4 linked regions of the Sus scrofa genome follow. The protein of the gene in region 1 purifies or fractionates together with the protein of each later gene. This does not show direct contact. Links are inferred from orthologs where the notes say so. Each region holds a gene or a part of one and is shown in the gene's direction. Other genes may lie near its edges.

The links.
Region 2: the proteins of VDAC1 (region 1) and BSG purify together in Homo sapiens (affinity purification with mass spectrometry; 3 studies listed by BioGRID, with this or other methods). This does not show direct contact. The link is inferred for Sus scrofa from reciprocal best matches to the Homo sapiens genes VDAC1 and BSG.
Region 3: the proteins of VDAC1 (region 1) and cytochrome b-c1 complex subunit 2, mitochondrial fractionate together in Homo sapiens (co-fractionation; 3 studies listed by BioGRID, with this or other methods). This does not show direct contact. The link is inferred for Sus scrofa from reciprocal best matches to the Homo sapiens genes VDAC1 and UQCRC2.
Region 4: the proteins of VDAC1 (region 1) and ATP1A1 fractionate together in Homo sapiens (co-fractionation; 3 studies listed by BioGRID, with this or other methods). This does not show direct contact. The link is inferred for Sus scrofa from reciprocal best matches to the Homo sapiens genes VDAC1 and ATP1A1.

The regions. Positions count from the first base shown.
Region 1 is NC_010444.4:136,303,312-136,307,453, reverse strand, and holds part of VDAC1 (voltage-dependent anion-selective channel protein 1), read left to right. Parts: intron 1-748; coding exon 749-899; intron 900-3,649; coding exon 3,650-3,707; intron 3,708-4,142. UniProt on the Homo sapiens protein: Non-selective voltage-gated ion channel that mediates the transport of anions and cations through the mitochondrion outer membrane and plasma membrane.
Region 2 is NC_010444.4:77,737,930-77,740,846, reverse strand, and holds part of BSG (basigin precursor), read left to right. Parts: intron 1-2,343; coding exon 2,344-2,500; intron 2,501-2,917.
Region 3 is NC_010445.4:24,222,202-24,226,343, reverse strand, and holds part of cytochrome b-c1 complex subunit 2, mitochondrial, read left to right. Parts: intron 1-284; coding exon 285-368; intron 369-465; coding exon 466-615; intron 616-1,631; coding exon 1,632-1,696; intron 1,697-3,481; coding exon 3,482-3,538; intron 3,539-3,759; coding exon 3,760-3,884; intron 3,885-4,142. UniProt on the Homo sapiens protein: Component of the ubiquinol-cytochrome c oxidoreductase, a multisubunit transmembrane complex that is part of the mitochondrial electron transport chain which drives oxidative phosphorylation.
Region 4 is NC_010446.5:104,362,887-104,367,028, reverse strand, and holds part of ATP1A1 (sodium/potassium-transporting ATPase subunit alpha-1), read left to right. Parts: coding exon 1-70; intron 71-340; coding exon 341-450; intron 451-3,185; coding exon 3,186-3,320; intron 3,321-3,837; coding exon 3,838-4,030; intron 4,031-4,142. UniProt on the Homo sapiens protein: This is the catalytic component of the active enzyme, which catalyzes the hydrolysis of ATP coupled with the exchange of sodium and potassium ions across the plasma membrane.

The DNA.
Region 1 (4,142 bases):
GATGCAGCTAAGGGTTATAAGCTGCCGTCTGAGGAGCATGAATGGCCCCAACTTTCTTGCGCTCTCTGGCTGTGTTCTTGCTTACCATTTTTTGGATAGAGCATTTATGAAAATAAAAATAACCTTAGTAGCAGAAGAAAGAAGTCATTCAGAGTCCAGAACTTTTATTTTAAAGAATATTTTGGGGGAGTTCCCATCGTGGCTCAGTGGTAACGAACCCGACTAGTATCCATGAGGATGCAGGTTCGATCCCTGGCCCGACTCTGTGGGTTCAGGATCTGGCGTTGCCGTGCGCTGTGGTGTAGGTTGCAGGTGTGGCTGAGATCTTGCATGGCTGTGGCTGTGGCGTAGGCCAGCAGCTACAACTCCAATTTGACCCTTAGCCTGGGAACTTCTGAATGCCGTGGGTTCAGCCCTAAAATAAATAAATAAATAATAGTAATAAAATAATGACTATTTTGGAAGCAGACTTCAAGTTCCATGCAGACTTCAAGTTCCATGCAGCCTGAGTGGTTGACTGAGCTGCCTCTGGGTGTTCCCAGTAATGGCTGAGATAGCCTTTACCTTCCTCTGAGGCGTCCCGACCCTGCTGTCTGTGCCGTCCCTGTCCCTAATTTGGTGTCTGTTTTGTGATCAATTCAGCCCCTTGACAGCATCCCGGTCCTCTGTTGAACCTGGGCAGCTCCACCCAGCCCAGCCCGGCCCGCCTTCTCACGTGACTTGGCATTTGTGCTGTGCTTGTTTGCAGAAATGATGGGACGGAGTTTGGTGGCTCCATTTATCAGAAGGTGAACAAGAAGTTGGAGACCGCTGTTAATCTTGCCTGGACAGCAGGAAACAGCAACACACGCTTTGGAATAGCAGCCAAGTACCAGATCGACCCTGACGCCTGCTTCTCGGTGGGTACCTGCAGAACCGTGTATTGCTGAGGCCACCTGCCGCTTAGGTGGGCATCCTTTTGGATTGATGGAGTGCCGTGCTTTGGCTAGAGATTTTCTCGCTGTGAAAGAGGTCTCAATCAGTAAAACGATAATACTGATGGGACTTAACTGTGGGAGCCCGTTGTACATGGATTACTATGTTTATTTCTTACACACCCCGTTTGAGATAGGTGCTTTTCTCCCCCCCCCACCCCCCGTCTTTTTAGGGCTGCACCCATGCCATATGGAGTTTTCCAGGCTAGGGGTCCAATCGGAGCTATAGCAGCCGGCCTATACCACAGCACAGCCATGCCAGATCCAAGCCGCGTCTGTGACCTACACCACAGCTCACGGCAATGCCGGATCCTTAACCCACTGAGCAAAGCCAGGGATCAAACCCACAACCTCATGGCTCCTCATCGATTCATTTCCGATGCACCACGATGGGAACTCCCCAGCTTTTTTTTTTTTTTAAAGTATTCCATTTATGTTTTCGCAAATGAGGAACCAAAAGCTTAGAGCTGGGAGTGACTTGCCCAAGGGCCGGCCGTTGCAAAGTGCTGGGATCTTTTGGACGCAGGTCCCCCTGTTGTAGAGCCTCCTTTTAACTGGTCCCTGGTCCATGCTGCAGACTGTAAAGCGGTTCCCTTGAACCCACAGGTTTTAAATGTGTTCATTTTCCCCTCAGTTTTCATTCTCTGACTCAACTCCTGTACCGCATGTTAAGAAATCAGGCCCCGGCATCGGGCAGTTGGCATCTTATCAGTCCCAGCAGTGTTGCTCGTGGTCCCTTGGGTTGCTGCATAGTTTTTGCATAAAATCCTGTCGAGCTCATCTCTGCTGGCACAGGGCATTGCCCGCTGCTCCCTTTTTGGGGTGGAATGAGGACATCTCATGTTGCAGGCCGGTTTCTGGGCCGGCTTGTGATCTTTACAGGCAGCGCATTTTCAGCCTCCTGAAACAGGAACTGTGTTAGGTACGTAAAAACAGAGGAAAAGTGGCCTTGTTGTTTGGGTGGCATGGACAAAAGGGACCACGAGATGGGGCACTGGCTGCCGAGAGGCCTTCCTTCCTGTTGTCGCCTGTGGGAGATGCTGGGTCTGAAAACAGCACGCGAGCAGGAACACGGGCACCCTGGCAGCCCCAGCTTTCGCCAGGACTCCGAGTTCTCATGCGCTGGGCTTGCTCTGCCCCTGGCCTCTCCTTATTTCTCCTTAAAGGGGTCCAGATCTCCCTACACCTCAGGCAGAAGAGCGACGGCAAAATTCGTATTGACTCATCTGCTTTATTGAACTTAATTGTTCATCAGCAGTCACGGAATGCTAAGGTTTAAGCGATGGGCAAGGTCATGCTTTTGTTCCAGTATAAACGGCCGGTTGAGGCTTGTCTGCTAAATTTTCATGTCGGGATGACGTTTGCTTCTCTTTTCCATGAAGAGAAAATTTGAACAATGTTCTGCTGTTTTAAAAAATGCTTCATGGGAGCTCCATCATGGCTCAGCAGAAACAGATGTGACACGGTGTATCAGGAGGACATGGTTCGATCCCTGGCCTCGCTCAGTGGGTGAAGGATCTGGCGTTGCCGTGAGCTGTGGTGTAGGTCGCAGATGTGGTTCAGATCCCGCGTTGCTGTGGCTGTGGCTGTGGTGTCGGCCAGCAGCTACAGCTCTTGATTTGACCCCTAGCTGGGGAACCTCCATGTGTCGTGGGATGTGGCCCTAAAAAGAAAGGAAAAAAAAAAACCCCAAAAACGCCTCATGGCAGTTCTTGTTGTGGCTCAGCGGGTTAAGAAGCCAGCTAGTATCCATGAGGAAGAGGGTTCGATCCCCACCTGGCCATGCTTGGTGGGTAGAGGATCTGGCATTGCTGTGAGCTGTGGTGTAGGTTGCAGATGTGGCTCGGATCCTATGTTTCTGTGGCTGTAGTGTAGGCTGACAGCTGCAGCTAAGATTTGACCCATAAGAATGACCATATGCTGCGGCTGCATCCCTAAAAAACAAAAAACAAAACAAAAGTAAACAAAAAAAACAAACAAACCAAAGAACCCTGTCTGATACTTGCTCTGTTTTTCCTTATTCCAACAAATAGAATCTGGAAGACATCTTCCATACAAGAAAGGTTTTTTATCTCTCTGGTCATCAATGAAGGTGCCATACTTGTTATAACTTAAATACAGACCTACTCAGTATAAATGGAGTTGGGCATACATACTTTAAGGAATCAGAAATAAATAACTTTTTTTTTTTTTTTTCTTTTGATGTTTTCAGGGCTGTAGCTTCAGCATATGAAGGTTCCCAGGCTAGGGGTTGAATTGGAGCTGTGCTGCTGGCCTACACCACAGCCACAGCAATGCAGGATCCGAGCTGTCTGCAACCTACACCACAGCTCACGGTAATGCCGGATCCTTAACCTACTGAGCCAGGCCAGGGATCAAACCTGTGTCCCCACGGATGCTAGTCAGATTCATTTCCACTGAGCCACGACGGGAACTCCAATAACTTCTTTTAACTGAAAATTGTGTTGACTTTTTGAGTTACCCTTCTGAGACTTAATTCCCGAATTTGATTATTTCATTTTGAATTTAATGAATCCTGTAAACAAAGTGGTTGTGAAAAAAAGGGAAGTAGATTCTGGAGTCCAGAGTTGCTTGCTTTAGAAGTTCTTCGTCATTTTGGAGACAGAAACATGAAGTACTCAACGTTTTCACTCTCTTGTCTTTTCTTTGACTAGGCTAAAGTGAACAACTCCAGCCTGATAGGCTTAGGATACACTCAGACCCTAAAGCCAGGTATGTGTTGATGGTGTGTGGAATTAACTCTTTGCCTTAAAAAAATGGGGTGCTGGTTTGCTGCTTTATGTTAATGCTTATAAAATGACTGTCTAGCGCATTGTGAGTGTATATAAAATTTTGTCGTTGAATGTTTATAAAGAAGTGCAGAGAATAAAACATTTGCAGACCAGGAGAAGTAGTAAGTAGGAGCAAAAAAGGCCAAGGCTAACATACATTACATTTTTGGTTATTTTTTCCTATTGTATGCATAATGCTTGATTAGTTATTTCCACCAAGTTTTTATTTTTTATTTTTTTGTCTTTTTGCCTTTGCTAGGGCCGTTCCTGCGGCATATGGAGGTTCCCAGGCTAGGGGTTTAATCGGAGCTGTAGCCACCAGCCTACGCCAGAGCCACAGCCACAGCAACGTGGGATCCGAGCCACGTCTGCGACC
Region 2 (2,917 bases), about 59 Mb from region 1:
AGGCCTCCCACCTGACTGCCACCTAAAAGTGGCCTGCAGGTACTTCTTTCTCCCCCAGGAGGCCGGGTGGGGCCTGGACAAGACCTGACTAATCTTTCTAGAAGCTCCTGGGTGCCCAGGTCTCCTGGAGAGAGGCAGGTCCCGTCTGGGAGAAGGGCTGCTTCTGGCCTGACTTCCTACCCTGCTCACCAATCCCAGCTCTGCTATAGGAGCTGCTGGTTCTGCAGTCTTGGGAAATCTTGACTGGAGAAGTGCAGGTTGCCAGGGGGCCTTCTTTGGTGAAAGTGGTATAGAGGTGAGCATCCAGCCTCATGCCCTATCTGGCTGTAACTGCTTGGCCTGAGGCTTGAGTTGCCTTTTGGTGGCCCCAGGTGGGCAGATGTGAAGGTCGGCTTGTCCCCAGGACCTTGTGGCCAGTAGCTGTGCTCACCCACACAGCCTGGGAACTCTGAGCACACGTGCCTGTGAGTGTGTGTATGTGTGTATACACAAGTAGCTACAGGTGTGGACCGCTAGGGGCCTCCTTGCTCTCCCCCTGGCACTGCCATCTAGTTTTTTGCTTCCGTCCCTGCTGACCTGGGCCTCTGAGACATCCTGTCTTCTCTTAAAGAAAGACCCAGTGGGTAGCCAGAGGTGGGGCACTGAGGCCTGGCCATGCACACATCCTGTCCATGGGCTGGCCTTGGGTCCCACCTCTACACCAAGAGGCCAGCGTCCCGCAGGCTGGAAATGCACCTGGGGAGCCAGGGCCCTCCTGTGGCCAGTCCATAGTGGGACAGAGTGGAGCATGGTCAGCCCAGCAAGAACCTAACAGGCAGGCCTGGGCAGGACCCATGTCCTCCAGGCCCGGATCTCAGATGCCTGAAGAGGACACAGTGCACTCTGTCTGCAGCCGTTCCAGAAAGTGGCTTGATGGGAAAGTCTGGCTTGGGATCCGGGCTTTCATTTTCCTAGCAGCTAAGGCGTCCCTGTGGACGGAGGGAGCCCAGGCCAGCCCTGCTCATGTGTGAGTGTGAACCTGGTATCCTCTGCAGCCAGGTACCCTCTTCTCTTGCTGTGGGGATATCTTTCCTCGGGACTGAGGTTCGCTGATCTGACTGCCAGGTGGCTAAGGTGACTGTCCAAGTGGGGGTCACGACCTCTGATCATTCCACCCAGTTTCGTGTGTTTTTTCTGTGCTCGCATAGTTACACTGTCAGAAGTCACCATGTAACCCCAGGGAGGAAGCAAGGACCTAGGGAGGGTGGCTTGCCCAGTGGGTGTTAAGAGCTGCTGCCTGGCTGCCGGCCTGTCGTCTGTGTCCCTGTAGCTGCTTTCCCCTCAGTGCCTTCTTACTTGGCTGGGTTGTTCAAGTACAGGCTTGTATTCTGCTCTTTCACCTGACTTTACACCACAGGCTTCTTCCTGGGCTGGCTCTCAGCCCGTGTCCTGTGTCCATGACCTTCTCCAGGGGATGCCTCTGAGATATGTGAGGGTGGGTGGCCTTTCCAGAGGGTCACTTCTGGGTAGGCTAACAATTGCGCTAACACTGCTGTGCCTCAGACCCACCTTTATAAAGTCCCCACCGTCCCCAGGGACAGTGTTGTCTGCTCTGGGACAGGGCTGTAGTGTGGCTACTCCACTGATGGGGGTTGCAGCCCTGCCCGGCAAAAGGGTTCTTGTTCTGATCTGCTCTCCTGATCCCAAACACATGGAGGTCTGGGGTCTCATGCCCCAGGGCCCTCCCTGCAGAGGAATCCTCCCAGCTCAAGCCCAGTCTCTCAGCTCTCATAGCCATGTCTCTTACTGTCTAGTTCTAAGTGTTTTCTATGTTTTGGTTCCTAAAGAAAACATTTTCGAGGACGGGGTGGTTTACCTGCTTAGAAACCAGTGGAAGGGCTGCCGGCTGTTCCAAGGCTCTGGGGGTCACCCCAGCCTCACAGGCAGGAGGAAACAGCACACCTGACCCACCTCAGACGGCCTGCCTTGATCAGGGGAGGGGAGATGCAACGCCACCCAGAGGGGATGGTGACCTGGGCAGCAGTAGACTGACTTTCCAAAGGGGCATTTGGGGTCTGCTGGCGCTGGACCCTGCAGTCACTGTCTTGGTCCTTGTACCCAGACCAGGGTGGGCGCTGCTTCTGTTCCCACACCTAGGCCCAGCCAGTTGAGACCATTCCTCCCAGAATCCTGCCTCTGACCCCGAGGGGAGGTCCTTCCAGGGGCCCCACAGTGCTCAGCTCTGTGAACCAGCCCTGGCTTCTCCCTCTGTGCGGTCGGGGTTGGGACCACTCGGGTTTGCCATGGGGACAAGCAGCCAGTGGCCTGGGTTCTTCCCTTTTCACCTTATCTTTGGCTGCCCAGGGAGCAGGATCTGGACCTCGATAGATGATGTTGGCTCCAAAACACGCCTCACCTGTGCCCTGAATCACAGCGCCACTGAGATCGCGGGCCACCGCTGGGAGAAGGGGGGCAAGGTGCTAAAGGAGGATGCGCTGCCTGACCTGAGGACAGAGTTTGAGTGAGTGAGGCCCTCCCAGCAGGGAAGGGGCTGGGGCCTGATCATGGGGCGGGGTCAGGGCTGCTGGCCCTGCCTGCTCTGACCTCTCCTGGCCGCCAGGCCTTGGCCAGGCTGGAGGTTGTAGTTGTGGCCTGGCTTTGCACACATTAGAAACAGGCTTGGGCTGAGGTCTGGGACCCAGCAAGGGGCAGCTGGCTGCAAGACTTCATCACCTCTCAAACCCATCCCTCCTTCCTGTGAGATGGGGTCTGGGCACTCCAGGGACCAATGTGACACCCAGTTTGGGACGAGGAGTGGCTCCAGAAGCCTAGAACACTGCTATGAGCTTGGAGGGTGGTGGGGCCAGGCTCCCTGATGTGGAGTGATCCTGCCTGCTGCCCCGCACACCCCTGGTCCCTGTTCTCTGGGGCTGCCTGT
Region 3 (4,142 bases), on another chromosome or scaffold:
TGTGGGTGCAGCCCTAAAAAAAGACCAAGAAAATAGTAATGATTCTTTACATAGTAAGAAGTAAACATGGAGAACTCAGTATTCCTTCAGCTTCCACAAATCACAAAGAAATATTTTAGAATGGCATGGGGAAACTGGTGGATGAGTCAATCCATAACAAGTTAATCGGCTAAGTCCCCTCGTGGAGTTCTTTTACCATTGAATACCCTCTGTTGCTTGGGCCCACTCTGATACAATGCACTGTTCTTTGAGAAATGTGGTAACCTGTCTTTTTTTGTGTTTAGAGATTTTATTCTCTCAAAGTTGCCCCCAAAGCTTTGGCCAGCGCTGCCCCTGCAGGAGTGCCTCTACAGCCTCAGGACCTTGAGGTTAGTCCCACTGAGTTGCTCACTGGCCCACCTGTGCCTTACTGTCCTTGGTAATATAAAGACATTAATCACATCCCTACTTTATCTTTAAATACAGTTTACCAGATTACCAAATGGTTTGGTGATCGCATCTCTCGAAAACTATGCTCCTGCATCAAGAATTGGTTTGTTCATTAAAGCAGGCAGTAGATATGAGGACTCCAACAATTTAGGAACCTCTCATCTGCTTCGTCTTGCATCCAGTTTGGTAAGCATCTTTACTACTGCAGTGTGTTTAGAAATCTACAGAGTTCCCTGGTGGCTCAGCAGGTTAAGGGTCACTGCTATGGGGCAGGTTTGATCCCTGGTCCGGGAACTTCTGCATGCTTCGAGTGCTGCCCCAAAAAAGAAAGTAATCTGTGGTATCTTAGTTCTACAGAAAAGAACAACAAAGCAACATCCCTATGTTAGTTTCCCAGAGCTGCCATAGCGAATTACTGCAAACAGTGTGGCTTAGACAAAAGGAATTCATCTTCTCACAGTCTGGACGCTGGGAGTCAGGCAGGGTGTCAGTAGAGCTCTGCTCCCTCTAAAAGCTCTAAAAAGAGTCTTGCCTTGTCTCTTTCTAGCTTCTGGTGATTGCCAGCAATCCTTGGCATTCCTTCACTTGCACCTGCGTCATTCCAATCTCTGCTCTTATCACATGGCCTCTGTGTCCAAATATCCTTCTTATTTAAGTTTTTCAGTCATATTAGATTTAGGGTCCATGACCTTGTTTCAAGTATTTGCATCTGCAAAGACTATTTCCAAAACAGGTCGCATTTGCAGGTCCTGGATGAACATGATTTTTGGAGGGACATTATTCAACTCAGTACAGGTACCAAAAAACCACAGGATACTTTTTACCACAGAGAAGCATTAAATTAGTGTCCATCTGAATATTAGTGCTAGAAAATAGAAATCAATTTTTAAAGGAATTATTAAATGCCAGAAATTGAAAGAAAATTATTCTTTCCCATATGCAGATCTCTTGCAGAATAGAATGATGAATCCAGTAAGCTTGTATTTGATAATGGAATTTTAACCTAACTATACTTTATATAAAAATCTGTACTTGTGCTTTTTGGGGAACTTTGTTTCATTATTCTTAAACTAGAAAGGATTCCCTATTTAGGTAATGTTCTTTTTGAATTTAATGACAAACACTAGATTTTGATGTAGAGTGATGTTTGGCAAGCATAGCATTAAAAAAATACTAAAAAAAATTGTTCTTTCTTTTCCAAGACTACAAAAGGAGCTTCATCTTTCAAGATAACCCGTGGAATCGAAGCAGTTGGTGGTAAATTAAGGTTTGTTACGATGAGTAATCAGAAATAGTGAAAACACCAGAGGGTAGTCAGTTGTAAAGGAACTTTTCTATTACCGAGGTGGTTAACAATTTCTTAAGGCACAAGAAGGAGAACACTGATAAATTTGACTGCAAAAAATGTAAAATATCCTTAGGCCTTAAAGTAAAAATTACGTTATCTGGGAGTAGATATTTGCAACATATGTAACCTGGAGAGAATTAATTTGCAAAAATGAACTACAAATGAGGAAAAAACAACCAAAGAGAAAATGGATAGGGAGAGGCTGTTCCCAGAAGAGGAAGCCAGAAGCAAGGATCTTTACTTGTAATCAACAGTGATGACAAGCATTTTATGCTTCTGGTGGAAGTATAAATTAATACAGCTACTTAGAAAAGAACCAGGTAATATCTGTTCATATTGAAAATGAGCATATTTTACAAGCTAACAATTTTTCATCCATATGCACAAAGGAATTCTTTATCGTTATCGAGACTGGAAGCAATTTAAATGCCTGTCTTTAGAGAGAGAGAAAGAGTGTGATACAGTAACATGCTGGGCCTGCTACACAGCAGTTAAGGAAGAACTCGATCTGTATCCACATAGCAGACTTCAAAACAAAATGTTTTGTGGGAAAGTAAGCTTCACAGTTTTTAAAGGTATAAGGTTTTTAACAAAATAATAACATGTCGTGCTTATGATTATACTTGTCTCTAGTGTGGGAGGAAGTGAGAGAGTTAGCCTGGGAAGGGTGCAAAGAGATCTTCAACTTTAAAGTTTTTTTTTTTAAGTTGTAGTAAAATACACATAACATTAAATTTACCACTCTGCATCCACTAACCCCAAACTCCCAATCCATCCCACTCCCTCCGGCTCCCCCTTATATGTATGACTGGGTCACTGTGCTGTACAGCAGAAATTGACAGAACATCATAAATCAACCATTCTCTACTACACAATTTTTAAAATATAAAAAAAAAAAAAAATGTACCACGCTAGAGTTCTCTAAGCAAAGTAAGGATCCAGTGTTGTCATTTCCCACCTTCAGGTGTATAGTCCTATGGCGATAAGTGGCATTAAGCACCATCACCACCACCATCTCCAGAATGTGTTGTTTTTGTTTTTTGCCTTTTAGGGCCGCACCCATGGCAGAGGGAGGTCCCCAGGCTAGGGGTCAAATCACAGCTCCAGCTGCCGGCCTACACCACAGCCACAAGGGGGAAATCCGAGCTGCATCTGCAGCCTACACCACAGCTCACAGCAATGCCGGATTGCTGACCCACTGAGCAAGGCCAGGGATCAAAGCTACATCCTCAGATACTAGTCACCAGGACAGGAACTCCCTCCAGAATGTTTTCATCTTCCCCAGCTGAAACTGTAGCACTGACTCCCCCATTCTCTCTTTCCCCCAGCCCCGGGCAGCCACCACTCTGTTCCGTGTCTGTGATTTTGACTGCTCTAGGCACCTCCTATCAGTGGAATCATACAGTATTTGTTGTCCTTTCATGACTCCTTTATTTCGTTTAGCAAAAAGGTCTCAAGGTTTATCTATGTGTAACTTGTCAAGATTTCCTTCCTTTTAAAAGTTGAAATATCTGCCATTTCCTTTTTGAAGATTTTAAAAAATATTTTACAATTTTAGTTGAGTGTATATACTTTGTTATACTATTATTTATACTTGTTTCTACCTCACAGTAATTTTTTTCCAAAAGAGTTGGTTGATTTAACAAAGCTATAAGGGAAAGCTAATATTGATCTGTAATTCACTGTGATTTATTTTTGACTTAGTGTGACTTCCACAAGGGAAAGCATGGCTTACACAGTGGAATGTCTGCGAGATGATATGTAAGTACTTGTAGGTTTTTTTTGTTTCTTGTTTTTTTAAAGAAATACCGAGCTGCTCAATTCTAGTCTTTTTTTAATGGGGCATTGTGGCCTCCTGTGTTGGTTTTGGATTAGTATTCACAAGGTGCCTGAAGTGGAATATTGAGAGCATTGCAGTTCTGAGGAGTGGATGCTGGTTTTAAATTTTTTGACGGTAACTCTTATCTTCATGCCTTCTGTAGTGAGATCCTGATGGAGTTCCTGCTCAATGTCACCGCAGCACCAGAATTTCGTCGCTGGGAGGTAGCTGCCCTGCAGTCTCAGCTAAGGATTGATAAAGCTGTGGCTTTTCAGAATCCACAGGCTCGTAAGTGCACTTTCAGATTATGTTCCGTCGTTTCTAAGATAACTGCGTTTTTAAAAAGATCAATTTGTAGAGGAATAAAACTGCAGTTGAAATTTTTTTCTCCTTGGGTTTGAAAATGCGCTTTCCAAAAATTTGCCCACTTTTAAAACATACCATTCTGTTTGTTTCTAAACATTTGTGTTGTTGACTATTTTTCATCTTTAACAGTATATAAATTGATTGTAGAATCCTGGGCCTTTTTCCTGTATGTCATTCCCC
Region 4 (4,142 bases), on another chromosome or scaffold:
CGAATGACAGTGGCCCACATGTGGTTCGACAATCAAATCCACGAGGCTGACACGACGGAAAATCAGAGCGGTAAGACCAGCCCCCCCACACACACACCTGAGCTTCGCCTGCTTTCTTGCCTTTAAATTAAAAAAAAAAAAAAATCCTTTGGTAAAGGAGTCAAGGGTTTGAGGTTTGGGTTTTATTTCTTGTTTGTTTTGCACATCAATGTATACATGGCTGAAAAATGCCTAAAACCTGACGAGTTTCACTGACTAGGAAAGAGGACGTGTCACAGCATGTTTTTCTGGGACTTTTACAAAGCTGGCGCATTATTTTCCTCTCTTGCCTCTCTATCAGGTGTCTCATTCGACAAGACTTCGGCCACCTGGCTTGCTCTGTCCAGAATTGCAGGTCTTTGTAACAGGGCAGTGTTCCAGGCCAACCAGGAAAACCTACCTATCCTGAAGGTATGCTCGGGGGTTCTCTTAGGTTGCCTCTAGGGGATGCAGGTGCCACACAAGAACCACCACCTATATGTGTGTGTGTTTTAAGTGGCACATGACCTTGGGGGGCTTTAAAGTAACTTCACCATAGGACACTTGGAACAGTCCATGGGATGCTTTGCTGTGTGTAATGAGTTGTGTTGCCTGTAGATCCCAAAGGATTTACAGTACCTGTGGTCCAAATAGGTCCATAAAGGGGGGAATATATAGTTAAAAACTGACCAGAGGAGTTTCCATTGTAGCTCAGCGGTAACAAATCCGACTAGTGTCCATGAGGGCGCAGGTTCAATCCCTGGCCTCTCTCAGTGGGTTAAGGATCCAGTGTTGCCGTGAGCTGTGGTGTAGGTCACAGACGTGGCTCGGATCTGGTGTTGTTGCGGCTGTGGTGTAGGGTGGCAGATGCAGCTCTGATTCGACCCCTAGCCTGGGAACTTCCATGTGCAGGGGGTACAACCCTAAAAAGACCAAAAAAAAAAAAAAAAAAATGACCAGAGGAGGTTTGGGGGAGGGGGGAGGCAGTCTTTACTGGTGGAAAAAACCTAAGTCCCAAAATCCAGTTTGACTGCTCTTGAATTTATCTGATAATCCCCTAACCTAGTGGACAGTGAGGGCTCCTTGCTTGTGTGACTCAATAATCGCATTTGCATATTAGGATACGGTAGATTCCAGTAAATCTCGTAAGCCATTTATTTTCTTAAAATAGCTCAGCTATTTCTCTTATCTTGTTCTTAGCTTGCCTACTAATGATGCAAAAATAAACTCAGCCTCATGGAATTCACATGAAATTTGAAATGACTGAGATTTTACTGTGTTGCTTAGTAAAAGTCGAAGACCCAGAAAGGTCACGAGCTGCACAGGGTCCTTGAGGGTGAGAAAGAGTTGTGTGGGGCCCTCTGGGTGGGCTCACTCTCACCAACGCCCCCTGTGGTGGTTCTGGGTAGAAGCCAAGCGGTCAGCGAATATAGTTCTGGTGGAACTGGGGTGGCTTGAACATGGGGTTCCTTGATTCCGTAAAGGAGATCTCTTGGCATTGAATTGACGTTGATTTAAGGAGGATATTGTTTATCTTGGGATAAAACTTGAGATGCTCATTTCATGTTTTTCCTTACCTCAAAGTGGAAATTTTCTAGCCTATGAGCACAGAGACTCACAAGTATCAAACCTTGCCTCATTTAAAAGCTCCAGAGGGAGTTCCGTCCATGGCTCAGCAGTTAATGAACCCAGCCAGCTATTATCCATGAGGATGAGGGTTCAATCCCTGGCCTCCACTCAGTGGGTTAAGGATCCAGCATTTCCATGAGCTGTGGTGTAGGTCACTGATGCAGCTTGGATCCTGCCTGGCTGTAACCGTGGTGTAGGCCAGCAGCTGTAGCTCCGATTTGACCGCTAGCCTGGAACTTCCATATGCTGCAGGTGGGCCTTAAAAAGCAAAAAATAATAATTAAAAAAAAAGCTCCAGAAAGGTAGCATGTGATATATTTCTAATTATTTCAGGGGCTTGGGGCCATGGGGTGTTTGTTTGTTTTTTGAGTTTTGGGGGGATATATATATATATATATATATATTTTTTTTTCCCTTTGTCCATGCCCAAGGCATATGGAAGTTCTCAGGCCAGTGACAATGCTGAGTCCACTAGGGAACTCTGGGTCCATGTTATTTTAATGGCATTATTAAAAAAAAAAAAAAAAACCATGCAGGCCTATTCTGCTTCAATAACTGTGGCCTTTTACTAAAATGATCCCACTTCTTTTATGCTTCTCACCAAACCTGGCCACATTTATTAAACAAGGCTGCTGCATTTGTAAGTGGGCATTAATTTGCTCATCTACATGTACGGCCCGGCATGCCAGAGTTCAAAAATGTTTCTCTCTGTATAAGTTGGCGATAGCTGGAAATGTTTTCAGTCTATGTCACCATGTAAGTGTGTCACAGTACATCACACGAACTATGTGTTACCTGAAGTGGGGGCATTCGCTAAAACGTTAGGCTGATTACATGACCATTGGAGCTCATCATAGCTTTCAGTCCGCACCCTTCAGCCCCAGATAATTCTGCACAATTGAATTATGTTGGGAATGTCAAGTCCTCGGCTTTGCCCTTGACACAGACAGTTTGCCTGTGGTCCTGAGAACCCAAGGCATCTTCTTTTAAACTGCAGGGCGAAGAAGCGTGCCGTATTGACTCACTCTCCACTTTTAGATTCCTAACCCCAAATAGGTGATTGGGAATAGTGTTGGCTCAGAGACTTCCCCGCAGGCCTGGGAAAAGTAAAAAACAAAACAAAACAAAAAAAAAAGAGGCCGGATTGGCCAACGAGGACCTGCTGGATAGCACAGAGAACTGTACCAGGTGTTCTCTGACAATCTCCATGGCAAAAGAATCTGAAAGAGAATGGATGTGCGTATGATGCAGAAATTATCACAACCGCATAAATCAACTATACTTCAATAAAATTTTTTTAAAACGAGAGACTGAAGGAGGTGGGGAGGGGTGTTGGCCTTCTCCCACGGGGAGGTGACACCTTCAGGCACCAAGTTGGGGCGGGGGGGGAGTCCCGCTGGCAAGGAGGAGGAGGTTGCAGTTTGCTTCCGAAGGGCCGAGATGCTTCCGGTCACTCCCGGCAGCTGTGCGCCTCCTCGCCCGAGCTCCCCCTCCTTTTTCCTGTTGGCAGGGGGACTAACAGAGGGTCTCTTTTGCAGCGGGCAGTGGCGGGCGACGCCTCCGAGTCCGCGCTCTTAAAGTGCATCGAGCTGTGCTGCGGGTCCGTGAAGGAGATGAGGGAGCGATACACCAAGATCGTCGAGATTCCCTTCAACTCCACCAACAAGTACCAGGTCCGAAGATGGAGCTGGGAGAACCGTCTTCCCCTTGGGAATTGTACACGCGCAACTGCTTTCTTAAAATGAATTACGCACGCTTTTCAGAAATGCTTTAGCTTTATGTCTTACCTTGACTGCAGGTAGAAAGAACGTTCTGGTTTGTTTGAATATCAGTGGGATAAATGAAGCCTCCTTTAAAATGTAGTCGGGGCCCTTCTGCATTCTCAGGTGGGGGTCGGAGTGAGCATGGTGTTGGGGGGAGGGGGCTTGGTAGGGCCGCAGGTGCACACGTGTGTGCCATCCCTTCATTCTGAATTTTCTTCTGGAAAATTCTGGATCTGAACGTATGTCAGGGATATATGAGCACCTCACCGTGCGAGGTTCCTGCGTAGCATTCAAAGCGTGTTTCATCGGGGGAGGGGATCCTGGGTATTTTTTCAAAACAGGCCCTAAATAGTTAAGGGAGTGCAGCTGCCTCCTGGGGCCACCACGCCCGGCCATCCAGCATTTACACCTCCACTGTCCTTCCCAGCTGTCCATCCACAAGAACCCCAACACGGCTGAGCCCCGGCACCTGCTGGTGATGAAAGGTGCTCCAGAAAGGATCCTGGACCGCTGCAGCTCCATCCTCATCCACGGCAAGGAGCAGCCCCTGGACGAGGAGCTGAAGGACGCCTTTCAGAACGCCTACCTGGAGCTGGGTGGCCTCGGGGAACGCGTGCTGGGTAGGTAGATTGCCTGCTAACGGGTGCAGACAAGTCCAGCAGACGATTACATGCCCGCTGTTGCTTATTAACCTTGCAAGCGTTTCTGGAGCAGCCCTCCTCCTTTTTTATT